Zea mays: one gene and its partner. Each later gene encodes a partner of the first gene's protein in a complex. Links are inferred from orthologs where the notes say so. Each region holds a gene or a part of one and is shown on either strand. Other genes may lie near its edges. The genes, in order: 50S ribosomal protein L1, chloroplastic-like; 50S ribosomal protein L34-like.

What was found.
Region 2: 50S ribosomal protein L1, chloroplastic-like (region 1) and 50S ribosomal protein L34-like share a complex: the UniProt entries of both Arabidopsis thaliana proteins name them as parts of the 50S ribosomal subunit. The link is inferred for Zea mays from reciprocal best matches to the Arabidopsis thaliana genes EMB3126 and AT1G29070.

Annotation. Positions count from the first base shown.
Region 1 is NC_050101.1:154,264,791-154,269,406, forward strand, and holds the start of 50S ribosomal protein L1, chloroplastic-like, read left to right. Parts: upstream 1-1,676; 5' UTR 1,677-1,731; coding exon 1,732-2,058; intron 2,059-2,158; coding exon 2,159-2,338; intron 2,339-2,425; coding exon 2,426-2,480; intron 2,481-3,039; coding exon 3,040-3,167; intron 3,168-3,513; coding exon 3,514-3,597; intron 3,598-4,616. UniProt on the Arabidopsis thaliana protein: This protein binds directly to 23S ribosomal RNA.
Region 2 is NC_050098.1:192,685,885-192,689,934, forward strand, and holds 50S ribosomal protein L34-like, read left to right. Parts: upstream 1-1,360; 5' UTR 1,361-1,386; coding exon 1,387-1,636; intron 1,637-2,908; coding exon 2,909-3,168; 3' UTR 3,169-3,312; downstream 3,313-4,050. UniProt on the Arabidopsis thaliana protein: This protein binds directly to 23S ribosomal RNA.

The DNA of each region.
Region 1 (4,616 bases):
TTGTAAGGGCGAGAGACTCCAACTTGTGGAGATTTCTCGCAAACGGGAAAAAGAGACAAGGAAGAAAAATCGTGGTATTCAAGTTGATCATTAGATCACTTGAAAGGGGTTGAGTGCAACCCTCGTTCATTGGGACGCCACAACGTGGAAGTAAGCAAGTATTACTTGGCCGAACCACGAGATAAAAATCACGTGTCTCTTATGTGCTTTCTTTTTGATTGTCTGTGTTCGCAAGAGCTCGTTTCAAGCTACTTAGCCGTTCTAACTTTAACAACTAAGTTTTGTGGCTATTAGTGTTGAATTTTACAGGATCACCTATTCACCCCTTTCTAGGTGCTCTCAATATTGCTACAGTTTTTGTATATCATATATGTTGCATTTCCTTAAATTATATATATATATATTCAAACATGATTATATTTTTTTTTTAAATTATAGTGTATAGATATATATAATCTCTCCTTTATGTACCACAAATGGATGTGTGCCATAGTGGTAGGAGCCCTGCCGCGTTGGACGGACACGGGCGCTCACGCGTAGAGGTGGTAATGGATCACGATCCAAATGCCTCTTCACAAAAGTTAAGGCCCTTAAATAATATTAGTTCAAAAATGAATAAGAATAGAGCCCGACCCTAATCCGATTCGATCCTTAAAATTTGCAGTATAAAGTTTATAGCCCATTACCACCCCTACTCACGCGTGAGAGACACATGGCGACGCACAAAGAAAATTCTATATTAAAAGTGTAGTGATATATGAGATAATTTTCTCTCTCTCCCTCTACATGGTGGCAGCAGGGGAAAAAGTTGGAGCTCCTGCACTTTCTAAAGTTCATTGTATGTATGTGGAGTGGTGTGCCATTGAAACAACCTAAAGTCTGATTACAAAGTGAGAAAACCACATGTTATGGTCACACTACCAATGTATTACAACATAGGCCTCAGAACTATAGGAGGAATTGACGGTGGAGGCACGAGTGAAGGGGAGAGGGCGACGGGGACGCGAGGGAGGGAGAGGTTGGAGGCGACAGATTGTGGGAAAGGGAAGGGTGACATGACAAATGATAGATGATCTAGATAATATTGTTCATCATTGAATTTGAGTAAGGGTGATAGAGTTATCCAGCTATCTGAATTTGTTTGGTGGATAATCTAAATAATATAGTAGTATAGATATAGAGTAGAGTCAAGGGCCACACACAAACAGTTCGCAGTCGCAGGCTGGCAGCCACAGCCACACATGCGTCCCTCGTCGCTGCCGCTCGAACCCACACGCGAACCGCGACCACACACCTGTCCGGCTGCCTCGCGCGCATCCGCATGGCTCTCGGTCCTCGGGGCTGAGCCAAATCAGGAGCTCCGAACACCTGCGCGCGTCTCGGCCCAGCCAACTCGCCGTGTTTCTCCTTACCCGTCGCCCGCGCGGACACGACACGATCGCACACTCGTACACCCGCTCGTCCCAACTCCCAACCAAGATCAGGCAGGTGACCGGGCGTCTCGGTTGAGCCAAAATCACTGGAATCAGGGGGGAGGAGTTTTCCAGGCGCGGCGCCCGTCATCCCTGCCCCTGCGAGGCTGCGACCGCGAGCCCGCCCACGACCAGCCCTATCCGATGAACACCCAGGCCGAGATCTTTCGGCTATAACCAACCCGCGCTGCCACTTCGGCTTCTCTTTCTATCCCTCCACTCCCTCTTATCTGCTGCGCCATCCTCCCCGGCCTCCACCATGGCCACAGCCGCCGCGGCCACCGCCTCCTCCTCCCTCCTCGCGCCGGCGGCCAGCAGCACGGCGCCGGCCTCGTCAAACGCGCTGCTGTTCCCCTCCTCCGTGCCGTCGCTGCGTGCGTACCCGCGGCTCCTCCTCGCGTTCCGCCGCCCCGCCGCGGCCGCCATCGCCGACCCGCAGGGGGCCGTGCTCGAAGAGGAGGCGGAGGTCGACCAGCAGGGCCAGTACGACGACGACGACGGGTATGAGGGCGGGCGCGGCCCCGCGTTCACGGCCCCCACGCGCCCGCGCACCGGCAAGGCCGCGCTACTGCTTAAGCGCGACCGCGTACGCATATCGCCGAATACCCCACCCTCCGTATATGGTTCCTGTGGCTTGCTTGCTTGTGTACGGCCGGTGATGCTGTGCTAGTTTTGATGGTGCGCAGACGAGGTCGAAGAGGTTCCTCGAGATACAGAAGCTGAGGGAGAGCAAGAAGGACTACGACGTGCCCACCGCCATCTCGTTGATGAAGCAGATGTCCAGTGCCAAGTTTGTTGAGTCAGCGGAGGCGCACTTCCGCATGAATCTCGACCCCAAGTACAATGACCAGCAGCTCCGGGCCACGGTATTGTTTCTTCTTTTCTGGCCTTCTCTTTTTGGTTGCTTGTGCCCTGTTGCGTTCGTTAATTTGTGCTGGTCGTGGTGACCACAGGTGAATTTGCCCAAGGGAACAGGCCAGTCGGTGAAGATTGCGGTTCTCACACAAGGTGGGCGGTGATTGAAACACAACGAAATCCTGTTGAGCGATAGTTAGTACAAACTGAATTCACTGTGCTAGTGGGTCATATGTGTGATTGTTCTGTTTGACACTATTGCCTTGCCTCATGTGTGACTATGGGTTTAATCTGAAACACGCTTGTCTTTATTTTTATGCAAACATTGTGTGCTGATGACCCGATTGGTTAATTTTGTATTTTTTTTCTTCTTAAAGTACCATGGCTTCTTTCAGAGTTCAAATGCAACATATTGGATTGGACAAAGTTAATTCATCTTTGGCATCTTGGTAGAAGAATTTAACAATCAGTTTATTATGTTCATGATGTTTCTACTTCTTTGTTTTTTACAAGAAGTCACTTGGGAGTTGGGATGGTGCTATTTTTGTGCTGTCCACTTAGCAAACCCTTGTTGAATGACTGAAACTTCTCTTTCATATCCTTTGTGAAAGATAGTCATGTTTTTCTTGTCATTATCATAAAGATGGTAGCACCAGTAGTTGAAATAATCATGGTCATTATATGCATTAATAGTTATTTTCTGACCTCACAGGTGAGAAGATAGATGAAGCTAGAGCTGCCGGAGCTGATATCGTAGGTGGAGAAGATTTGATTGAACAAATAAAAGGAGGATTTATGGAGTTTGACAAATTGATTGCATCACCTGATATGATGCCTAAGGTATGAGCTATTAACAGTTCTGCCTTCATTTCAATTTACTGTTGGATACTACCACAAAATTTGAAATGAAATATTTAGTTGTGCTTACTATAGGTCCTAAGTGTCTTACCATGTAAACTGTTAATTTTTTTGTTTTCTATAGATAAAATAGATTGGCTATGCCAATCTAATTTCGGAATACAAGAATACATGTGTGAGATGTTTCATTCTTTGATAACTAATGCTAAACTAAATGTCCAAAGTTCTGTATATATTTGTTGCATTATTTGACATGTTCGTAGAAACTTTCAATGTGGGCTCCCCTTTAAATGATTATCAGCCTGAGTTATTTCTGTTTACTTTTCAGGTTGCGGGCTTAGGTAAGATTCTAGGACCAAGAGGACTGATGCCTAACCCCAAAGCTGGCACTGTTTCTTCAAATATTACTCAGGTATTGAGGAAGTCAATACAGATTTTGTTTGCCTCAGTTTTTTTATCGATATTCTAAATCGTTTGTCTTCATTGCTTAGTCTGGGCACTGTGACAAGATTTAAAACTTCATGCCCTTGTAGTATTTACTGACTTCTAGGATTCATGTACAAGTAACTTCCTACCTTTATCAGTTGCATTTACTTTCCTGTACTCCGATAATTCAAGGTTCAGGCATGGTGTTTTTATTGAACACATGTTTGTAATTTAATTGTGCATAGCAAGAGTTCAGGAAGTTGAAATAGTTGGTTTTACTGATCGCCGAGGAAACTAGATGAGACACATGTTGGAAGATATGAAGCGTTATCAGTGGTAATAATATGAGTAAACTACACTGGCGGTCCCTAAACTATTATGTAATTCTCATTTGGGTCCCAAGCTATGAAATTGCATATCTAGGTCCCTAAACTATATAAGTATCATATCTTGATCCAAAATAACCACATCACAGTCCATCAACTGACGTGGCACTCCAGCGTGAAGCTGACATATGGGTCCATAGTTCATAGTTACAAGGGCTGTCTAAACTATCATAGGATTCTCAGCTAGGTCCCAAACTATAAAACTACTCATCTAGGTCCCTAACCTATTAAAGTACTACAATCCTAATCCAAATTTTATAGTTTGAGACTTTTGTAAGAATCCAATGATAGTTTAGGTATCATCCTTGTAATTATGAGTTATGGACATGCATGTCGGTTCCACGCTAGAGTGCAATGTTAGCTAATGAACTGTGATGTGACTGTTTTGCACCGGGATGGGATACTTAAATAGTTTAGGGACCTAGATATGCAATTTCATAGTTTGGGGATCTAAATGAGAATCGTGCGGTAGGTTAGGGACTAGTGTAATTTACTCTAATAATATTATGAAATCCCGATTCACCCTAGATAACAACATAAAGCATTGACAATAATAACTAGCAAAAGTAGTGAGGCAGTTGATTCAGGGATATGACTTAAAATTTGGTCCAGTTTCATA
Region 2 (4,050 bases), on another chromosome or scaffold:
CTTTTCTACCGGCTCCTTGTGCCATTCAGAGAGTTTATGCAGCAGCTCCGCCTATTCCTTGTCGCGTTGTTCGTTCCATTGCTGCATCACCTCCTTCTCATCACGCATTACGAGGTCTTCAAAGGGTCTTTGGTCATCAGCCGGGAGCGCCTCCATGGCCGGCTTGATGATGTTGGTGGTGGAGATCTTGGTGTGATCCTTAGAACCGACCATCTATGGGCCGATTTTTAGCAGGTCTAGACACCTAGTCCCCAGCAGAGTCGCCAAAAGTATGTTGACACCTTTTTCGGGCGCCAAACACTCAACAAGAACCGGCGACGGTGCTCTCTACACAGGCGCAAACGGTTCGCGCCCAGGGGCCGGACGGTCCGCGACCTGACGCAGGGCTAGGGTTCCCTGCCTGACGGCCGGACGGTATGCGCCCTAGGGGCCGGACGGTCCGCGTGTGCGCAGGGGCGGCGAAAGGTCGCCGGCGGCGCCTGGATCTCGCTCCCGGGAGGGACCCCGTCGGGGAGGAGAGATTCTAGGGGTTGTCTAGGCTCGACAGGCCGACCTAGATCCTCTAATCGACATAGAGTCGAAGAGAAGCGGAGAATTTGGGGATTAGAATACTAAACTAGGGCTAAACTAGAACTAGACTAGAACTACTCCTAATGCATAAGGTAAAAACGAGTAATAGACTTGATTTGATCGATTGTTGGGGAGTTCAATCGGCCGTAGCCCTTCATCTATATAAAGGGGGAGGTCTGGATCCGCTTCGAACTGATTTCCGAGTCAATCCCACGGTTTTAGATAACAAATCCCATGAGAAACTAGGAACCCTAACTGACTCTGCGCACGTGCGGACCGTCCGCGCCACCACCGAAGACAGTCCGGACCGTGGACCGTCCGCGCGGCCCCTTTTGGCTTTCAACAACTGTATATGCTCGGACTTAGAGCTAAAGATCCAGAAATGAGGAAGCAATTCTTCAAGCTTTACCATGATACAGTTTTGTAAACATTCTTAATCTTTAAAAGATGCTAACAAGAGTATAGGACAACAATTAATGCTTCTGCATTTCAACGTATCTTATCTTAACATATTTTACTCCGTAGCAATGCACGGGCATACAACTAGTATCATTGTAAGTTTTATAATGGAATGAAGCCCTCTAATTAATGGTAAAATAGCGAAACTCACTTTTGATAATGGCGCAATCCTAAATTTCTCCGTGAGGAACCGGGATTCTCCAGGGCGGAGGAGGGGATGTGTGGGTCAAATGTGCACTAGCCCATAGGAGGCCCATAAGGCCTGTCTCATCAAGCGTGGATAAGATAAAATAAAACAAGCACCAGGGACAGGGAGTGGCTAGACCGCAGCAATTGCGATTGCGAGTCCTCCAAACCATGGCGCTCGCCCTGGCCTCTCCAATGGCGTCTCTCTCCTTCCACTCCGGGAGGATCTCGGCGGCGTCTATCGGAGGCGTCGGCCGCACTCGCAGGGCGGCCCCGGTGGGCGTATCCGCCTCGCCGTTCCTCCGGAGCTCCTTCGTCTCGTCCTCCTCCACGTCGTCCGCCTCCGCCTCCGCCTCCCCCGCTTCGCTCGCGGCGGCTGTCTCGGCGTCTCTGGCATTTACGTCCTCCTCCGCGTTTGCGGGTGAGAATGTATCCTGTAATCCTTTTCTTCCTGTATTCGTGTGCTAGCGTTTGGGCGGCCATTTGTTTTGGTCTTTATTTGGGGAAATTTTGTGGGTAGTTTGCTTACTAGTAAGCTCGTACGGGGAAATGACATTAAAAATTTGAAATTATGACTTCATGACCGTGTGTTGACGATAGATTTGCAGAATAGGATGTTTGACTTGCTAATAATTCACTAATAATACAGTAAGCTGGTATCAAGAGGGTGGAGTTTTGGAATAGTTTGTTCTTTGTTGTTCATTACTCTAGTAGGGTGAAGAACAGTAACTGGGGATTTATGTTGTTTTAACGTTTGAACCGGAATTAATTACACTCACTTCATCTATACAAACAGAAATAAGGGTGTCCTAACTAATTCTTTGAAAACATTGAAGCTTGTGTGGTTGGTATTATAAAAAAACCAAAAATTCAGTTAGTCGGGCATATTAATAGAGAAGGACTAGATACACCAACATCGTTGAAAACAAAAGAAAAATGCTCACGAAACGAAGCGATGGCAAGACAATCACCAAAATAATAGTACATCGCCAATAAAACCATCAGAGCATTGGCAATCAGAACACGCCCTGATAGCCAAACAAGATATGGGGTGGGGTTCATATGATGCCTCCAAGGAGGTAAACAACATCTGCAGGTGCCGCCATCGATTATAGAACCTATGCTTTTGAACCAAAATCCCCTTAGGGTCTAGAGACCTCTTGACAATGCCTACAAGGAGGAGTGCGTCACCATTGCTGGCATCAACAGAAAGCCGAGCGTAGCTTTTGTCGAAAATCTGCTACCCCAAAACCCACACCTTGTTCCTGCAATGGCAAGGAGCCCACCAACGGCACTGCATGTTGTCATCCACCAAGTCTCAAGATAAAGTCATTGCAATAGCATTTTCTTTTGCTTGACAAGAAATCAAGATTTAAGAAGGGCTGCATATGACAGGACTATTAACCAATATAGTGAAGATTATATAACACAGTTGAAGCATAAACGCTTCCAAGAAACTTGATCTCAGGACTGATAGTCTGATACTACGACAACACTTTAATCACACTCGACTTTTCCATTACCTAAAGCAAATCCCAAAGCTCCTAAAAGAAGCACGACAAAGTTGAATCCAACAAACCATTTAAGCATTGTATAACAATCCAAACACAACCAGATAGGTATTCACAAATCAATGATTGTGAGTGCATGTGTGCCTTCGTTGTTCTTATACTTATAGCATGTTCTATGCCAGGTTCATCTTTGGGAATCGAGTTCAGCTACAGTATAATGACAACACGGAGATCCCGTGGTATGCAGATTAGGGCTGGAAAGGCTGCCCTCTGCATGACCAAGAGGTCAAGGTCTAGGAAGTCACTTGCCCGTACACATGGTTTCCGCAGGCGGATGCGGACTACTTCTGGAAGGAAGGTACTGAAGCGCAGGCGCGCCAAAGGCAGGAAGGTTCTTTGCACAAGGACAAACTCAAACAGTGGGAAGAAAAGAATGTTCTAATTACACTGCAATTTGATGTGCTCGCAACTGTAAGTGTAATGTCTACTTGCAATCTTCTAAGCCGCCATCTATGTGTAACAATCATGTAGCATCCTATTCCTGTTTAATTGGTTAAAAATATCTGGATCACCTTCTGCTTCCAAGGTTTTATTTGGTGTATGAATGATATTTTCTTATGAATATTTACTCTTCCCTAGTGGGCCTGAACCTGCGTGCAGTATGAAGGAACACTTGAGAGTAGATACCGTCGCTGTTATGAAGTAGGATCTCCTTTTACCCTGCCCATATTCCGTTATGAATACTGAATCTTCCCTGTTGGGTCTGAAATTGTGTGCAGTAGCATCGTTCGCTATACTGAACTAGGATCTCCTTTTGCGTTGCAGGGATAATCAGTTAAACTATTATATACTCCGGTTCCAATTTATAATTCATTTGACTTTTTTACACTAAGTTTGACCATCTCGTTTTATTTAAAAAATCATAATTATTGTTAAAGTTTACTGTGGTTTTGATTAGCATACAATATACTTTAAGTATGGCTTTGGATTTTTTTATTTTTTCAAAAAAAAAATTGAATAAGACAAACCGGATTTACCTTCATTAGCTGATGATGAAACTACTTACCCGTGCGGCCGTTTGATCCTTGCGCTACTTAAATTCTCTTTTCGATGGAGAGAAAGAGGCCGAAAGGACTCTGATGTCTAAAAGTAGAGTAAATTAAAGCACCTAATTATTTTCTAGTAAAGACATATGTATGAAATTAATTTATTTAGATGCACAAACAAGACGGGTTGTTATATCTACCGTAAAAGAGTCATGCAACATATGTCTAACAGAGATTAAAATAATTTTATATTAATTAGCTGAAGCATAGATCAAACT